Notamacropus eugenii: one gene and its partner. The protein of the gene in region 1 interacts with the protein of each later gene in a biochemical or structural test. Links are inferred from orthologs where the notes say so. Each region holds a gene or a part of one and is shown on either strand. Other genes may lie near its edges. The genes, in order: SPTBN2 and ACTR1A.

The links.
Region 2: the proteins of SPTBN2 (region 1) and ACTR1A form a complex in vitro, tested with the Homo sapiens proteins (2 studies listed by BioGRID). The link is inferred for Notamacropus eugenii from reciprocal best matches to the Homo sapiens genes SPTBN2 and ACTR1A.

Annotation. Positions count from the first base shown.
Region 1 is NC_092873.1:19,249,434-19,258,870, reverse strand, and holds the start of SPTBN2 (spectrin beta chain, non-erythrocytic 2), read left to right. Parts: upstream 1-5,139; 5' UTR 5,140-5,365; coding exon 5,366-5,534; intron 5,535-8,193; coding exon 8,194-8,345; intron 8,346-8,696; coding exon 8,697-8,870; intron 8,871-9,437. UniProt on the Homo sapiens protein: Probably plays an important role in neuronal membrane skeleton.
Region 2 is NC_092872.1:180,688,768-180,699,009, reverse strand, and holds the start of ACTR1A (alpha-centractin), read left to right. Parts: upstream 1-5,868; 5' UTR 5,869-6,859; coding exon 6,860-6,907; intron 6,908-10,242. Other genes in the region: SUFU (suppressor of fused homolog), read right to left, coding at 2,977-3,176. UniProt on the Homo sapiens protein: Part of the ACTR1A/ACTB filament around which the dynactin complex is built. The dynactin multiprotein complex activates the molecular motor dynein for ultra-processive transport along microtubules.

The DNA of each region.
Region 1 (9,437 bases):
GTCCTTGAAGAGTCCTGCTCTCCTGTAAATAGCCCTACACCAGGGCCAAGCAGGCACCCATTGGAACAGTAGATCAGAGAGAAACTTCAGTATGCTCCTCTGTCTTGCCCTGACCTGCACAAGAAGGCAACCCAGAGCTCTAGGTGCTTGGATATAGAATTTTCCAGGGGCGTGTGTGTGTGTGTGTGTGTGTGTGTGTGTGTGGAGGGGGTCAGGTAAACAGGGTCTAAAACCCTGTGCGGGTTCCCACTAAGGGCAGCCCACCTGATCTCTGGCAGGCTTTCAGACCTAGCCTGTCAGGACAGCAAGTGGGGTTCAGAGCCAACCCCCAGTAGGTCACTGGGCCAAGAAGACAGGAGTGATCAGAGCATGCATGCCTTGGAGGAGATCTGAAATCGGAGTGATCTTTAGCTTCCAATTGGGATCTGTCAAAACAGTAGCAGGGCAGGGGATGAAGCAAGAAGGAGACAAAAAGCCACAGCCAGAACTCATCCTAGGCAATCAGAAGACACAGGTAGAGTCATGGATTGGGGAAGGGGTGGGGCCTAATTTCAACCACCCCCTCCAGACTCGGGGGTGGGGTGGGGGCACAGAACCAAACATGCAAACAGGGCTTGTCTATCCATTCTAACAGTAGGTGAAGGGGTGGATGTTTCTCATGACTAAATAACAGATACCCAAGAGGTAAATCCAAAAGAAGACAAGGCAGGTACCCGTGAGAATAAATAGCTTAGAACAGAAGACAGAACACCTTAACCCTAAGAGAATGAAGCGAACAGAACTCTGTGATTCGATGATACAGCAAGAAATGTTTGGGTCAAAAGATTGAAAAATTGGAAGAATTTGTAAAGTATCTACCATCAAAATCAACTGACCTGGAAAACAGGAAAAACAATTGAAGAATCATCAGACTCCCTGAAAATCATGACTTTAAAAAACCCTGAATGTTTCAAGAAATCACAAAAGAAAACTGCCCAGATCTGTGAGAAGAGGGCAAATTAAAACCAGAACCCACTGGTCACCTCCTAAAAGATTCTCCAAATTGTAAACAACTAGGAATATCATAGTCAAAATCCACAGCTTCCAGGTTTAAAACAAAATACTGGAAACAGCTAGCATTGAGTTCAAGTGCCAAGGAAGTGCAGTCAGGGTTACAAAAGACTAAGATACATGTACTTCAAAGGAGAGAAAATCTTGGAACACGATGTTCTGAAAGAAAAAGGCATGGTGGCAGGAGACAGATATCACATAAAAGGAATGGCCATAGGCCAATGGCCTGGCATGTAGAGAGTATGAAGAAGAGGTTTGTGTAAATGAGCCTGGAATGAGAAGCTGGGGCCAGGATGTAAAGAACATTCAATGCCAAATAGAGGTGTTTGCATTTTGTCCTAGTGGCAACAGGGAGTTAATGAAGCTTCTTGAACGGAAATAAAGCTTTTGGTTGTGTAGCTGTAACCTGAAGGACTCCACCAGAGTCGCTTTACTTTAAGACTGTGCCTAGAGGTTTGGTTGTTTCCCTTTCAGGCTTCATAACCAGATAGATCCATCATGTGAATCCTCCTTCCTGTCAATCTTGTGTCTCCACCCTTTCCTCAGAGTGTTTCAACCTTGCCTGATGTTGAGTTCTGTGTCAATATTTACAGATCAAATGCAGAGGGCACAGCCCTAGGACATATGGTGGATTTGGGGGAGAAAAGGCACTCTTCAGTCTCTCCCCCCTGCCCAGGCTTGGGTAGCCCTCTGCCGACAGATGAAAAAGCAGTCCCTTCACTCAAGCTGCTGCCAAAACAACCTTGCCACTAACCTGTAACCATGGAGAGGGTCAGGTTCTGACAGAGAGTCACCTGTCTCTGTACATGTTGTTGTCTGATATCCTTCCAACTTCTCACACAGCCTGTTCTCATGATTAGTCCTTTCTTTTCCCCAAGCCTCAAGAAAGTCTTCCCCTTACTCCTTTCTGTTTTCTGCCACCCTGACTCTAACTTCTCGTGTTTGGGCAGCCTTAGAGCAATGCTCACTCCTCACGGAGGGACAAATAAGGTCCCAGACTCAGGGTTCCAGGGAGACCCAAGGTTCCCCCCATGGAGCTGAATTTGCAAGGCTCATCCTGACAGAAAGCTTTCTCTGGTTCCCCTTAGTTGCCAGTGTGTACTGCTGCTGCTCTCGCCGTCTTCCTCAGATCATCTTGTCTTTATTTTTCTGGGGACCTCTATCTCTGGTAGACTGTCAGCTCCTTGAGGTCAGGCCCTGTTTTATCTTTGAGCCCTAGACTCTAGCACAATGCCTGCTATGCATTAGACATTTAATAAATGTTTGAACTGAATTGATGGTTTATGCTGGCCTTTTGGAGGCACTATCTGATGAACTAGTGGGGGTGGCAGAAATTCCCATGTTTGTTTTGAGGAGAAAATATTTGTTTGAGTAAAGTCCTGAATAACCCTGGCAGGACCACAGAGATGGTCACACTGTTTACTGATTAGCTTCATAGGCCTGGGATCCTGGAAGAGACCACATAGCCTGATTACTGAGGAGGAGTCCTGTAGCTCTCAAAGAGAGGGTCACATTAAAAAAAAAAAGTTTTTACTTGTCATTGGGGGAAAAAATATTTTTAAAAAAAAACAAAAATGAAAGAAAGGACCACAAATTCCCCACTTTTGTTTTGATGGACTCACAGGTCCATCAGTCTCTGGGAGCTGGGCTTTCTCCAATCCCAAAAGCTTCCTGTAGGCTCTTCTTTCCCCTGCTCTGGACTGCCGTTAAAGCCACTGACTGCTCTGTCCCTCACCTTCTGCCACAAGCTGTGTGCTGTGCCAGCCTAGGCCTCTGTATCTCTTCTCTCACTTCCAAACTCCCTGGTCTTGCCACGGCACTGCCACCTCCACCATCCCAGTCCCACCCTATGCCACCCCATTGGCACCGTTGTCTCAGAAGTGATATCTTGTCTTTATTTCATACTAGCAACTAAGCAAATGAGTCCAGTTTGGTAATGATGATAAAATTCCCATGAACACAGTACTTAAGATTTAAAAATGGAGAGTAGATGAGGAATGAACAGATATGGGAGATACAAATTTAAAGATTAACTGATTAATTATTTATTATAATAATGATTCAGCTGTGGCCGCCAACGTCCTCAGTCCTATCCAGTGGGTGTGATTTTATCATGGAAATGGCATTAAAGAAGAGGCCTGACCACCCACTCAGCTGCTGCCCCCGAGGGCCGTGGCACTTCTCCATATGAGACCTTCTCAGGGGTGTGCTGACTCCCCGTTAGACTGTCGGACTTGTCGCCTCATATCTCCAGTGCTAAGCATCTAGTGAGGGCTTAATAAATGCTTTATTTCTTGCTCATACTCCCCTTGCCCCCTTCTTTCTCTTACCAGATTGGGTCAGCTATGGGCTGGCCTCTGTAGGGGATGGAGTCAGGAAGACCTGGATTCAGATCTTTCCTCTGACAAGTCTCTTCATCTCTCTGAGGCTGTCTCCCGACTTGTGGAAGACAGCCGACTCCCCAGGATTGCTGCAAGGCTCACGTCAGGCGCAGTGTGTGAGTTGTCATCTCTAACTGTCCCCACAGGCCTGTACCTCCGCCATCATGAGCAGTACCCTGCAGTCACCCACAGACTTTGACAGCTTGGAGATCCAAGGCCAGTACAGTGATGTCAACAACCGCTGGGAGCTGCCTGACGTTGACTGGGACAATGAGAGCAGCTCGGCCAGGCTCTTTGAGCGCTCCCGGATCAAGGCTCTGGCAGGTGGGTTTTTGGTTATCTTTCCTCAGAGGGGAGAAGGGGTAGAAAGCTGGAAGCTGACCGTGCCGCTCTAGTGGCGTTTTGGGAAGACAAAGAGCCGACCTCTAAGAGGGTTCTCACAAGAGGCAGTCCCCAGATGCTGCCCACATCCAACCTCTTAGGACGCTGGCGTCCCCAGCTCTATCCCCTTGCATAGACCAAGAAGCCTTGCTGGCGAGCATGGGGAGGACCAAGCCCTCTGCCTAGCTCTGGGGCCTGGCCTTTCTCCCTTTCTTTTTCAGCCCCTGACTGTTTCTACCTTGATTCTGCTAGGTTCCTCACCTCATCTCCCCACCTGATCCATTATCCCTCTGCCTGTCCCTGCTTCACATGCCCTGGGCCTGCCTGCTGCCTCTTCTTTCTGCCTTTTCTCTGATGTACTCTGACTGCCCCTACCCTCCCCTTCAGCCCCTGCCCTCCCCTCCCTCTCCTCCAAACACCCACAGACCTGTCAGACGGGCCCTGCTGCGTTCTTGGGCCAAGTTGTCATGACAATGAGAGCATGCTACCTGACAGTGCCAGACCCCAGCCCCTATACCCCGCCATTTCCTCATCTGACTGGCCCAGTTTCCCAGGCCTTCTACAGGAGACCTTCTCATGGGAGGCTTGAACAGTCAGGGAAAGGGTCAAGTCCAAGGATCACACTGTGGGAATCGCTCCTTGGGGTATCCCTTGGGCCACCCTCCATCCCTGCCCCTCTGCTTATATCTGAGCAGTGCAAAAAGAAAGGTCTGGGAGAAGACCGCATGGATGGGGAAGGCTTTGGTTCTCCCAGGAGGTGGGGGAGCAGGGGGAAGGAAGAAAGAGAGGCTGGCTGTCCCAGGCTCCTTTGCTGTCTGTCTACAGGGGAGTGGCCCAAAGTGTGAGGGCCTCAGGCCAGGGCAGGGCTCTGCCAGGGCAGACAGCTGGGTGGAGCAGGAGCCACAAAGTGGTGTGTGTGCCTATGGGGGGATCCTTCCCCCAAGGCCTCGGGAGGACATTGGTACCCTGGCCGGAATATGGGGGTCTTGGAGTGCTCACAGTTCCCTCCCCTTCCCCATTGTGGAAGCCTCAGGAGCAGAGCTAGCCAGTGACCTGGGAAGGGGGTCCTCAGGGCCACCAAGAGAGGTCCATCTTTCATCTGCCAGCACCAGGCCAGAAAGTGGGAGTCTCAGAACCCTCTCCCACTTCCTCTCATTCGGGGTCTCCTCAGACATCTCAGACTCTCCCAGTGAGGAGCATGGAGGGTGCTCTGAGATCCCTCCTCCCCCGCAGGGCCTGGCCCTGCCCCAGCCCCTTTGCCCCGCCTCCTCCCCTCCCCCGCCGCTGTCCAACCTGTTTGTCTGGAGCGTCCCCTGGCTCTGCCCCTGCCTGCCAGACAGCTCAGCCAGGTGTGCCCCCTTCTGCCTGGCCCTGCGACAGCACAGCAGCAGTGCCAGAGCTTGGCGGCTCGGAAGTCCCCCGAGTCCTCGGGCCCTGCCACCCCCTGCGTCTGGACCCCTGGCTGCCCCATCCCCATAGGGCTGACCGTGAACTTGGGCCCCTGGCTGGGGGAGATGGAATCTGGGCTCTCGACTCTGTAGGAAGCAGCAGACATGAATGGGAACGGGCTCGTGGGGAACGGTTTCAATGGGGCAGGGGAGCCCCACTGTGAGGCCCTGGAGGGGACTCAGCGCCCAGGGAGCCCCCTGCTCTCCCCTGCTGCCTTCGTTAACTCTGCCCAGTATGCCAGCGTATTGGAAGGACGGTTCAAACAGCTTCAAGGTGAGGGTCCCCAGGCAGGAGGGCGTGTGTGTGTGTGTGTGTGTGTGTGTGTGTGTGTGTGTGTGTACAGATCTGGGGGGCAGACCCTGACAGGAGCTGGGCTGGGTCAAAGGGAAGAGGGACTGGGTTAATTGGAAAGAAAAGGAGAGGAAGGGGGAAGCTTTTATTAAGCGCCTGCTGTGTGCCTTACACTATGCTAAGTACTTTACAAATACCATTTCATCTGATTGCAAGGACAGGTGGGGGTTGTCAGTGGGGAAGGACAATAGCTTGGTCCAGTGACTGGTGACAAAAGCGGAGGGCAAGAAAGCACCTTGTATGTATGTGTGGGAGGGAGACTTGGGAGGACTCAAGGCACTGCTGTGGGGAAGCCCGAAGGATGGAGGGCCCACTGAGTGGGCTGGGGTGTGTATGTGTGTAAGGGTGAGGGTGTGTTTCTGTTCTGTATGTAGGTGGCCAAATGTGAGTGAGAAGAAAGGGGGTCATGGAGAATTTAGGGTTGTGTGTGGGTGTGCGGGTGTCTGTCTGTGTGTGTGTCTCTATGTGTCTGTGTGTGTCCATGTGTCTAAAGCAGGGGTGAGGCACATGTCTAGAGGGCCTTCATATCCGATTCACCAGAGGTGGTCTCTGTGAGCCTTGGGCGCAGTCTGACATCTGTGTACTTGGAGTTCTGGGTGTGTCTGTGGGCCTAGGAAGGTTCCCAGTGTATGTAGATTTGCTGGTGAAACAGGGCTTTGGCTCTGCCCCTCCTCCTTCCGGACCCATTGGTTTTGTGTGGCTTTTTCCTCTCCTTTAGTAAACTCACTTGGCCCTGACCCAGAGAGGCGAGGTTGGCTAAGGACAGCTGGGGCTCAGAACAAAAAAGGGAAAATGGGTGCGGGGGGGGGGTGGGGGAAGGCAGGGGTCTCTGTCAGACTTTGGTCAGTGTCTCCTCTCAGGGCTCTAGTTGGCATATGGATGGGGTCAGGAGACAAGGATAGAGATGGATGGGTTTTCATGGCTCTGGGAGCAGAATAAACAGGACCATTGATTTAGAGGGGAAGGGCCCTCAGAGGTCAGCCACTGGTCTAGCCCCACCCTTTTATAGAGAGGGAAACTGAGGCTCAGCAGTGAAGGTCAGAGAGCCAGAAATGACAGGATCCCAGGGCACATGCTACTTCTGAGATCATGGGGACTCGGACTGTGGAGAAGGAAACCAGAATGACCCTTGACCTTTACTCTAGACTCTTAAAGACAAGGAGGGACCCAGGAAATTGAGATCGATCCTAGTGACAGCTTGTGTGTGTGTGTGTGTGTGCGTGTGTATGTGTGTGACCCAGCAGAGATGACACCTTGCCCCCATCCCCTTGGAGGAGGGCTTCCTGGGAAGGAGAGTTTCTGAGGAGCCCCATGTTGCCCCTTGCCATTGGTCATCCCCAGGATGGCCACGTCCCAGGGCCGGAGAATCCTCTCGAAGACCCTGGCTGAGCACGTAGGGGATCCTCTTTGGAACGTCTCTGGGGAAAAATGAGGTTGTGGCTTCTGTGACCCTGTTTGACAACATCCCTAATGACTGGCTGCCCCTTATAATTTAGAGCCTAATAGCCCCCTTTGGTGGGTGCTTTGAGGTTTGCAAAGTACTTTCCCTAGATTATTTCATCTGAGCTTTACGCCAACCCTTGCATCAAGGGGAGAAAGGTGTGATTATCCCCATTTTACAGATAAGGAAACTGAGGCTCAGGAAGAGGAATGACTTGCCCAAGGTTGCACAACTCTTGAAGCTGTCTCAGGGAGATTTGAACCCAGGACTCTGCTGACACCAAGTGCGCCACTTTTCACGCATTGTCCCCCTGCCCTTCACGTATTTACAGACTTACTACATTTCTCTTGGTCTCCCTTTGAATTTCCCCTCCCTGCCAAGAGGCTTTAGCCTCTCTCATGAAGCTTATTTCTCACCCTTTCAGTCATTTCTGTTTCTTGAGATCGATGTTTATTAAGCACCTGCTGTTTGCCAGGCACCACGCATGACAAAAATGGAAGGCTTCTGGTCTGTGGGGTGGGGGTGGGGGATGGGCCGTGGGGGGACACAGTGTATACACAAGCACATGCAAAGTAATTTTGATGGAATGAAGTGATGGACTCCAAAGTCAAGAGTCCTGGGTTCAGATTTGGAGTCTGTACTGACCACTACATGACCGACCTTGGTCAAGTCATTTTACCTGATGACCTTTAAGACTCCATCCACTGCCTGTGCTGTGGTGAACCAGAGTCAGGTGGGCAGTAGGGACCAGGTGAGGTGAGCATTGAGCACTGCATGCTTGTGACGAGTCCGTGGCCCTCTCTGGGCCACAGTTCCTTTATCTGTAGTGATGGGGTTGGGTCTGCCAGCCCAAGGTTCCTTCTGGTTCAACTGCTTCGAATCCTATGAATGAGCTGAGGCTCCCAGGATCTGAGGTCATGGTGGGGGGGAGGCGGGGAGAATGGCCAGTCTCTTGGCACTACTCGCCTCTCTCTTCCATAAGCTCCACGAGCCCAGGCTGGGCTGTCAGGTATCCCTTCTCCTGACTCTCTCTGCTGACTCTAGGATCGTTCCCCTGAGGGATGGCCTGGGAGCAGTGGTTTAGAAGTCGGGAGTCAAGGGTGGGATGGGCCACGCTGACCCCATGTTGGTGCCCTCTAGATGAGCGAGAGGCTGTGCAGAAGAAAACTTTCACCAAATGGGTAAACTCCCATTTGGCAAGAGTCACGTGCCGTGTGGGAGACCTGTACAGCGATCTACGGGATGGACGCAATCTGCTGAGGTTGCTTGAGGTGCTTTCTGGAGAGACGTTGGTGAGTGGTAGGGATGGGGCCCAGGAGTCCCCAGGGGATGGCCCTTGGAGAGAGGGCAGCGCCAGAGAGAAAGTGGACAGCAAGGGACAGGAGGCCCCCAGATGGCAAGGGTGCCCACAAGAACAGCGGCCCCATTGAGCCAAGCTCCTTCCCCACACGGGCCAAAATCTGTTAATTCCCTGGGGAATCTTAATCTGCCGCCAAACCCCACATCAAATCCCAGCTTTGGTCCCAGACATTCCTTTTGCAAATGAATGCCAGGGGGTGGATGGAGAGGGACCGGGTGGGTGCTGTACATGCTCCAGACGAGAGGACTTTGTCCTCCATCCCCCAACCTTCCTGTGCCACTAGCCCAAACCCACCAAAGGGCGCATGCGCATCCACTGCCTGGAGAATGTGGACAAGGCCTTACAGTTCCTGAAGGAGCAGAAGGTGCATTTGGAGAACATGGGCTCCCATGACATTGTGGACGGGAACCACCGCTTGACCCTCGGCTTGGTCTGGACCATCATCTTACGATTCCAGGTACGCAGACAGTCACACTAAGACTCCAGGTGGGCCCAACCTCAGTCTCTTCACTTCCCCCTTCAGCTCTGGGTGTTGGTGATGTCAAACTGGGTGACCTATGGGCCTGACCTTTCCCTCTTCCCCATCACTGTTGATGGCACCGCCAGCCTCCTCCTCAGCCAGTTCAATGCCCTTGGTGTCATCCTCCCTCATCCCATCAGGCACCCCGCCCACCTGTGACACCTGCTCTGTGCTCTCAGGGTCATCACACGCTTCATCCTCCCTCACCCAGACACCTGTAATTGCCTCCTAATTTCTCAGAGTGATATTTCTACAGCACAGGACTGACCAGGGCACTCCTCCACTCAGCAAACACCAATGGCTCCCTATTGTCCCCCCTTGCCTGCCCTGTCGTTCTTAAAGCAGCATACTCTTGGCCTTCAAGCACAGGGTCCTCTCTCTGCTCTCCACCCTGGCCTTCAGGCCTGATACTAGCCTTCCCCACTGCTGGACAGCTCTGCCCTGTCTCCGCCTCGGCCTTGGGGAAGCATTCAAGGCTCCTTCAGAAGCCACCTTTCCTCTAAG
Region 2 (10,242 bases), on another chromosome or scaffold:
GACTAAAAAAAATGGGGCCGTCCTCAACAGAAACTGAGAAAATAACGATAATGCACAGGGGGCAGCTCCACAATGGCAAAGAATGTGTCTTATTTAATTCCCCCAAAACTGAATGAAGTGTTCTCTACAAAGTAAGTAAGCAATCCCAACTCCAAACACATATATATTTGTTGAAGAAAAAAGGCAATATTCTCACAACCGATTCTAGTCCTTTCTATGGGCTTTATTCTGTACATTTGATACACATCTGGATCGGCTGAGTAAGAAAAATATTTGCCCTTCCCAACGAATCAACCAGCCCTCTTCCCTCTGTAACACTGTCCTACTCTGAAATCTCATTGGGTGAAGAACTAAAGTACGAAGTTTCATGTTTCCCATGAAGTCCTTTAATCACATCAATCACAATGCATTAATATATAAAAGCATAGTTTAAATTTTTAATTAAGTTACCAGAGACCTGATATGAGCCTCAGGCCTCTTTAAAAGAAACTCAGCATAGATACCTATAAAAAAGTTTGTTAGTCAATAAGCATTTATTAAGTGCCTACTATATGCCAAGCACATGATAAATATTTGAGGATACAAAGACGGGCAAAAAACTGTCCCTGCTATCAAGCAACTCACATTCTAATGGAGGAAAAAACATGCAGAGAAATAAGCACAAGCCAGCTATAGCCAGGATAAACTGGAGAGAGTACCAAAGGGAAGTCATGCATTAGTAACTAAGGAGGACTGGTAAAGGCTTCTTGCAGAAGGTGGGACTTTAGCTGAGATCTGAGGGAATTCAGAATACAAAATGAGGAGAGAGAGTATTCCAGTAAAAATGCCCAATGTCAGGAGATGAAATGTCTTGTTTGAGGAACAGCAAAAGGATCTTTTCAGAGAAGAGTAAGGTGTTAGATTTGAAGTCAGATGGCCTGGGTTCAAATTCTGCCTAATATTTCCTAGCTAGGTGACCTTAGGCAAATCACCTAATTTCTCTCATCCTCAATTTGTTCCCCTGTAAAACAGAAGTTATGATATTTTCACTAACTACCCTCACAGGGTTGTTGCAAAGAAAATATAAGCCAGAAATAGCTATAGAAATATGAATCACTGTAATATTATTTAAAGGTACTTTTATACTTCAGCTAAAGAACAAGTTGTAAGCCCTAAAGAGATGAGAACAATGCCTTAACAACCAGGGAAAAAACTTCCCTTTCCAAAAGAACAAGTGGCCAGGTCTCATTATCTACTGCTTAGCCAACTTTTGAGGCTGCCTGGCTGTAGACCACTTGCTCTAACATGGAAGTCCACCAGCCACTGACCTGCACAATGGTGTTTTAAAGGGAAATGCTAGGGTATTTGGTGAGGAGAAGTGCTCAATCCCAAAGGGAAAATTGAAGACAAATGATTCTGAAATGAAACTCACTTTACCTAACTTCCCCTTTTTCCAGGCAACTGATTCCAGGGCCACAAGGCCAGCAGCTGTCCCAAGAGGTCAGTTTCCAGTGATCTGCCCCTTCTTCCTGTCCCAAGACTCCATGGACATGAACTGAGTGAGGGTCTGCCTTAAAGGGACAGTTATAAGCTATAAAATAATTCTTATGAAACAAATCTTTGTACCAATACAATATGTTTTCTAGCTAACACAACAGTCTCCTTGCCAGAATCTATTGGTAGTTACCAGTTGGCTTAACATAAGAATCATAGAATGAGAGTCAGAAGGCATTTTAGGGGCCATTCAATCTAACTCTCACCTGACTAGAATCCCCTCTATAATATTCTCTTGAAGACCTTAAGCCAGCAGAATTTCCTCTCACTTCTGTATAGGCTTAATTGTTAGAAAGTTTTTCCTTAAATAAAGCATGAATCCACTTCTACTCTTCGACCCCTCAGTGCTCCTAATATTTGTGGCCTTTAGAGCTATGTGACAGCCCTTCAAACATTCTACTCCACTGTTCTCTTATGGCCAAACACCCCCAATGCTTTAGGGCAATCAAAAATCATTTTTTAAAAAATCAAAGAATTTGGAGCTGGAAGAGATTTTGGAGTTCATCTAGAAGACCTTGCAAAAGAGCAAACTTTGGCCCAGGGAGCTTGAGTGATCTGTCAGTGAAAAGAGAACGAGCCAAGTGTCAGATAGAGCTAAAAACCCAGGTCTCTCAGTACAGAATTCTTTTCAAGTCCTCCTGAGCGAGATAACCCAAGCTGCGCCTGAAAAGATCATGCACGAACCTTTTCCTAACCTTCAGCCCTTTTAAATTCATGTGAATTCCTCGTCCCCTATGTTTGTCCCTGGTCTCAATCTGTTTTCCTCCTCTAGGTCAAAAGAAATGAAGACTGTAAAGGCAAAAGAGGCCGTCAAAGGAACGACTTTTCAGAGAAAATTTCCAAAACTTAAAGGGGAGGGGAGTTTAAGAATCAAAAGACTTCAAACGCAAAACCTGTCCACTACTAACAGGTCCTTCAGCTCACCCTGGCTCCCCTTCTCTAACCTCCACTCCCAGCCGGGCATAGCCCTTCTCCTTTCCCCCTCCCTTCCCCCCATCTCTAAGAGGGACTCCTTCCAAGCACTCGCAAACAGGCAAACTTTCCCCCGAGCCAGGCAGCCACCCCCTCTCAACTCCAGCCTCCAGCTTGGGTCCGACAATAACGTCCTGTCCTTCCCCAACCTGGCTCCCCCTCTCGCCTCCCCGCCAGGGTCTGCGAGCTCCCCACGGCCCGCCTCCGGCTCCAAAGACCCCTTTTCTTCCACAGCCCCGCAGCCCCAGGCACCCCCCCCTCCCCAAATTTCCATGAGCTCTTTGGTCCTCGAGCCCGGTTAACCCCTTTGTCTCCGCGGTCCTCGGAGGCTCCAAAGTTAACCCTTTCCCTCCCGAGCCCCGCGTCGCCTCGCTGGCCCCTCCCCCCCGCCCTTCGGCTTAACCCTTCCACGCCCGGCCGCGCTGCCCCCGCCCCCCTCGGCTAACCCTCCGCTCCGCCCCCCGGGCTCACCAGTACTTCACGATGGCGGTGACCTGCAGCGGGTTGGGCTGCTCGGGGTACAGGCGGCGGCACTCGCCGTAGATGGCGTGTAGCCCCGGGGGAAAGAGTGAGGCGAAGGCCGGGGGCGCGGCGGGGCCGGGGGCCGGAGCCGGGGCTGGGGCCGGGGGCGCGGCGGGGCCGGGGGCGCCGCTAGGCCGCAGCTCAGCCATCGGGGCGGCGGGGGCCGGGGCCGGGGCGGGGGGCGGAGGCTGGCACTGACGGACACACTGGCGGGACGGCAAGCAGAGTTCGTGGGTGCGACGCCCTGAGGGCAGCAGCGAGGTCCGGACTCCGCGCCTGCGCACGGCACCCCCGTCCACCCAGGCCGCCGCCGCTGCCGAGTCTGCCAGTGGGGCGCCGCGGGGCCGCCGGGCGCTCTTTGGGGCGGGGCTCCAGCGCCCGCTCTCCTGGAGATTATTGGTCGTCATCTATATCAGTCACAGGCTGGAGGGCGTGGCCTGACAATAGGCCCGCCCCCACCGTCCAGCGGCCGGGGAGGGTGGAGGGGAGAAAGTGCTGGGCTAGCCCTGGCCATCCGGAGGTGTTACTTGAGTGCGTGCGGGGCTCTGGGCATCCCTGTGAGACGAGCGACAGGACCGCGGTTCTGTTCCTTCCCCCTTGGTGCCGAGAAGGTTCTGCCTCAGCGGACGGGGTCATTCATTCATTCGTCTGCGCGGTACTGACTTTTTTAAAGACGGTTGAGACTTGGTTTCCGTACCTACCCCACCGACGTCTGTGGACAAGATCCAGGGGATGTAGGTTACCTGCCAGCTGCCACTTTCCTGTGTTCTTTTCCGTGGGTTGGGTGGAAGACTTTAAACTCCGCACAGATACATCATGAAAGCCAAAGGCAGCGCGGTGGACTAGAACGAGCGCTGGTGTCAAAGACCCTGGCACGCTCCTCACCCTGGGCAAGGCGCTTGACTTTTAGCTGCTCCCAGGGCGCTCTCAGAAATCCTTCAGTTACAGTAGCATTCCTTATCTGCATGGCTGAGACAGTGTCCATAACTGCGGCTCCTCTCCACAGATAGTCAGAGATAGGAACCAAAGAATAATAATAAGACCTGCTTTGGGAGAAGTAAAGCCCCCCTCTAAATAGTTATCCACAAGTACTGTGTGCAGATAGGAATTTAATAATTTTTTTTTATTATGGTAACATTCCCTTCTGTTATTTCTCTTCTGCATTGAAAAGTTACTGAGGAATCCCCGCTGGCCCCCATAATCGTTGCCCTCTGTATGTGGGGAGAGTCTTAAAAGTTTCTAAGATATCAGCTTTACAGATTTTTTAAAAATCACAATAACCTTATAGGCACGCTATTGTTTACTCAAGTAATCTTGAATGTAAAATGAGACAGCCATAGGCATTAATAGAAAGGAGGGGTTTCCAAAGGGCAAGTATGATTAACTGAAAAACACCAATAATTGAGAATGAGTATCCTAATAGTAATTCACATTTGTATAATGCTTTAAAGGGAGGTAAGTAGCAAGCATTTGTTAGGTACCTCTTGTTAAGGGCTTTATAAATATTATTGAATTTGTTAAGACTTACAAAACACTCTCCCTATAACAACCTTGTGAGGCAGATAGAACAAGTATCATACTCATTTTATAGACATGGAAACTCAGTAAGTTTCAGATAGGGTAAATGACTTTTCCACAGCTGCATGGCTTGGTAACTTGCAAAGCCAAGAACAGTCTGCATCTCTGTTGCTTAACCTGTCCTTGTTTCCATTTTCACTTAAGGATATAATTCTGACTATCAAAAGGAATGAAATGATGCAAGAAACTCTGGGTGCCTTGAAGGAAAGTTCATTGGCATTTGATTGGACATTTATTAAACACCTATACTCAAAACTATGCTCAGCACTGGGGACATAAAAACCAAAAAAGTCATAGTCACCATCCTCAAAAAGCATACATTTTACTGGAGAGGATACAGTATGTACACAAGTAATTCTAATTTGTGGTACACTGAAGAAGGACAGTAAGCATATCAACAACCGGGGAAAATCAGAAAAGGCTTCAAGAAGGAGGCAGAGGCTGAACTGACCTTGAAGGACAAGGACAATAAGGACTGAGAAAAGGGATGAAAAGAAAATGCATACCACTGATGGGGTACATGGAGGTAGAAGACAAGGGATCACCTTTAGAAATATTTAGAACTTAGTTTGTGAAGTTAGAGTCTGAAATGAGAGCTTACAATAGGGAAGGCCTTAAATGTAACCTGGAGTTTGTATTTTATCTTTGAAGCCATATACAGCCAGATAAGATTTTAGAGCAGAGAAGGGGCATGATCAGACCTGAAACTAGAACCAAAAATTCTTGTGGAAAGAACTTCAGATATCATTTAGTTCAATTTATTCATTGTACATATGAATCTGAGACCTGGAGAGGTTAAATAATTTGTTCCAAGAAAGTGAGGCAGAAATGCTTTTACTAGTGCTGGCTATTCAATAACAGCTGTGTGATTCTGGGAAAATAATTGAACCTCTCTTTTACCATCTGTAAAATGAAGGATTTTAACTAGGTATTCCAGTGCTCTTCTAATTCTAAAAGGCCTATCAAAAATTATCACAAATGACAACAACCTATATAGATGGACTAAACAAAGTATAACTAGAAGAGGTCTGTCCTGATGCAACACAGGACTATGGATGCTGAGGGACTGGTTCTCAAGATACCTTAAAAAAGGGAGAGGATGCCAGAGGGAGGAGAGGGAAAAAATGGGCATTTTTTACTACTGAAAGTAATTATTTTAAAAAATCAGTAACTGAAAACCCATATACTTACAGAAATCTGTGAGAATTACAAACACATACCATATCCTTGATGAAAGGTATGAGAAAGAGCAGTCAAGTTTTCAAAAATTATGTTTTATAACAGACCACATCTTTATAGTCACACAATTAACTGAAAGGTACAGAGAATACAAGCTCCCACCGCGCTTGTGTTTGTCGAATATTTAAAAAAAAAAATTTGGTTTTCTAGAGCCAAACAGATCTTCGACAAAGCACAGCTCCATTTAGAAAAGTCAAACAAGATTCCTTGTATCCTTGTATCCTAATACACCTGTAGAGATTACCTCTGATGATGACTATCAGTGGACACGCTGGATTACCAAAGCTGGTCGGCATTGTCAGGAAGGATGTCCACAAAGTCTAAACGTAAGGTTTTAAAAGACGCTCGGGTTTGCAGATGACATGGTGCGAACTGTAGTACTACTACACCCCACCCCTAACCCCCACACGTTGCAAAACAAAAGATAGAGATATCAAACCGTGTAAAAATCGGAAAGGAAATGGACCCTACGAGTATCAAGAATGAAAGAAAAGACGTATAAAGCAAGAATGAAAAATAAGTTATTCCACCGTAGTGAAAAGTCCCTGGTATGTAGCGTATTTATTTATGAGAGGCCACAGACAAGTATCCAAGTACTTAGGCACACAGTCCCGCGAGACTACATGTCCCAGCATACATTTCGAACCCGCCTCATCAAAGACGGAATGGACTACAGATCCCATCATGCAACAACGGCAAACAATTCATGTCCCTTTCACGCTTCTCCAAGTAAACTACAAAGCCCAAAGAGCTGTGCGAAGGAAAGTCTAATACCCATCATGCAAAGCTTCGCTGGATTTTGAAAGAGTCTGAGAGATGTTTTCCCAGTAGGAGGGGTACCGCATAGTATATTGGGGACTGTAGTCTTCCGGAGGGTGAAGAGCAGCCCCTCCCGACTTCCTTGTCCCGGGGACAAGATTGCGCATGCGTAGCGGTGGTAGCAGCAGCAGCAGCAGCAGCAGCAACAGCGGACCCGGCTGGCAGTTTCTTCCTCCGGAGGAGAGACCCCTCTGCCATGGAGTCCTACGATATTATCGCCAACCAGCCTGTCGTGATCGACAACGTGAGTCTGGGTTTCCTCTTCCCCGAGCAGGGCCCGGCTATCTTAGTCCGAGGGTCCCCCGCCCTGGCCGCTGACTCTTTGTCACCGGCTCGGCCTGTCAGGAGGCTTTGGCGGTCCCCTTCTCCTTGAGAGAAGCAGTCCCTGGCCGGTCCATAGGCCAGCATCGCTAGGGTGGAGGTCGGAGGAGAGAAACACCCCATCTCTAGCCCCCCGGGTCATCGGGCCCTTGGCCTGAGGGGCCTCAACCGCTCTGTCGGCGCCCAGGGCCCAGCCCCTTCTCCAGTTCTGGTGACTCTATTGGTTCGGGTAGCTGTCCATCTCAACTAGTTAGTTCCGCCCCCTGGCTAGCCGGATGGGGCAGCGCTCTGAAGGGATTGGCTAGTTCCCCCGTCCATCCGATGGAATGCCGCAGGGTTTCCTCTTTCCGTGGGGCGGGGCGGGGCAGAAGGGAGTGTCAAGGATTGGCTCCCAGGACTCCTGTTGGTGAGACCAGTGGGACAGGGTTCCGCCCATGGGTGGAGAAGGGCCCGATTTTGTTCAGTCCTGGGCCTGGGCGGGGTGGGGACGTGGGAAGGCCGGACCCAGCCCCTGGGTGGGGTCGGATGGAGCTCCCGGGGAGTCTTGGTGGCTGTGAGCGAGTTTCCTTGGGCTCTGTTGTTTTTGTGGTCACTAATTATAATGCTGGTGTTACTGTATCAAGGGGTCAGAACACTCCTTCCTCCTGTGGAAAACCCAAACGGATCTTTAGTTTTGGGGAAGATCAAACTGTAGCCTTCCAGATGTACTTCTGGGTGTAGTGGATATATTCCCTGTGTGGAACCAGCGGCCAAAGATGTGTGGTGATCCCTGGGGTTCGTGGAAGCTCGTTACCTCATTAACCCTTTGATCGTGACCTTGGGTCTGGGTGACCCAAGGAAGTTTGTGTCATCCAGCTTTACTGTTCCCGTAGATCTGACTTAAAGGAGGGGATAATGGTAAGAAAGTGATAAGGCAGCCCAAGACCCCAGAGGGCCAAAAGCAAAAGAAGATTGCCTTCACACTGTAATTGCCCTAGTAGGGTTATCTCTCATTTTTGGATTTGGATTCTTGTGTCTGCTGGTCTCCTCCAAAAGTAACCGGTATATCTTCATCTTCTTTTTGCCCCCTTTGTAAAATGTCTAATTGTCAGCCTTTAGCAAATTGGCAACAATTTTTTAATTTCCTTAAGCAATGCTAGGGTCTAGAAACGGCAAACCCATCAGTTTTGACCTGATCCCCTGCTCTTTGGATTAATGTGTAATCCCAACTCCAACTCTTCCATTATTCTTTCTCTTATTATAAATGATAATTAAGTCACCAGGGCTTAGTTCACCCTTCTTCCTTTCCCTAATAACGTATTAAGTTGTACTTAAGAGTAACAATACTATTATGGATTTTGAAACTAGAAGACTCAGCTTTTGTCTTTTCACTGGGAAAACTTTCTAGTACATCTACTAAAAGTGAAATCTGAGAAAGCTGTCATTCATCTTTAGGACACCAAATACGCCACATTAAATTTAGATTTGAGATCTCAATGAATTCTTAGTGGTTGAAATTCTGAACTAATTTTTGGTGACATTAGCAGCAATTTTTGGCTTTCAGGATGAAGAGTAGAATGAGCCGTATTAGACAACTGAATCAGGTGTCTATTTTGACGAGATGTGTTTATTGATAGAAATGAGTCTCACAGTTTTAGCATTTTCCAAAGACACCAAAATCTGCTTCCTGGAAGCTAAGAATTCAGCACTGGTTAGAAGAAGGGATTAAGGAAGAGAAGAAACAACAGATATTTCATCAGCTCTTCTGGGTTAGGTACCACTGCTGTCTAACATATATTACCCCTGCTTGACACCACAGAAAGCTACATAAAATTAATGAGAACAAAATGAAATTAGTTGTGAAAGTATCAGTGAGGTGAGTATCATGAGTATTTGTAGTCACATGTTTCTATTAAACATAACCATTAATACTAAAATGAAGTAGAACAGTGTGGCAGAAAGCAAACTGGACTTGAGAGTTAAAAGACTTGGATTTTAGCCTCAGTTCTGCCACCAACTTTCTGTAGGACTCTGAGCAAGTCATTATTGTACTGTGGAAAGAGCATTAGATCTGTGGTAAGAAGGATCTGTGTTGAAATCTCACCTCTGAAATTTACTACCTATGTGACCTTGAACAAGGCAATGTAACCTACTTGGTCCTCAGTTTTCTCATGTGTAAAATGAGAAAGTTGGACTACAATGTGGCCTTTGAGTTCCCTTCCAACTCTAGATCTGTGATCCTTTTGTATGTCATTTCTCCTTTCTGGACCTCAGTTTCTAGTGTGTAGAATGTATAGACTGTATTACTATTATCTCTAAAAATTTTTTCAGCTCTAAAATCCTAGGATTCCTAATAGAGAAGCTCTGAGTATACAAGTGTGCTTGTGGACCACATTTTGGAAACAGTGTCTACTACAGGAATCACTGGTGCAAATAAATTTGCTTAAAAATTTAAAATAAAATTCTTTTTTCCGTTTTCTTTGGGTGAAAAGAGAACTTATTGCCTATCCATGATCATCTCCTCTCCCAAGTCCTTGGGAACTTAAGAACTCAAAGGTTACAGTTTACTTTCTAAAAGATCAAAGTTCTAAACAGTCTTGAAGTTGTTTTATCAGTCATGGTATACTGGAACAAACACAGCTTTAGTCTGAGGAGCTGAGTTTGAATCTTAGCCCTGCTTCTCACTTGCTGTGTGACTCTGGGCAAATCTTTTAACTTTTTTGCACTCTTCAGTATCTTTATCTGTAAAACGAAGGCTTTCAACTAGCTGACTGCTCCATTCTATCTCAGCTCTAAATCTGTGACTTTCTGCTTTAGATGAGATAGAGTCAAAGAAACAACCTCAACTTTTCAGATTTTCATCATTAAGAAAGTAGTTATTTCACTCTCGAAATCTTAATGACTTGGTGATTCTAGAATCTCTTAGAAACCCTAAAATGGACTAGGAAATGAAACCAATCCAAATCATTCCCTCACCTAGAACTTTACATTCAAAGTCTTGGTTTGTACCAGAACAACATCTTTAAGGACTGGATAAAGAAGAGATTATTTTAAGAAGTGTTATGTCAATCAGTTGAGTATGTACTAAGTGCCTTGCACAAGTCTCATATTATCCAAGGCACTGTGAGGGTCTCGAAAAAATTGGAAATGGATATATGAAGAAACAGCCAAAGGCAGTTAAAATCTTCTTGTTCCTGGGGATTAAGTGTAGGACTGTATCCTTTGAATTCTTCTGCTGACATTGATTCCCAGCCTTGCCTATCCAGACTCCTGCTGTCT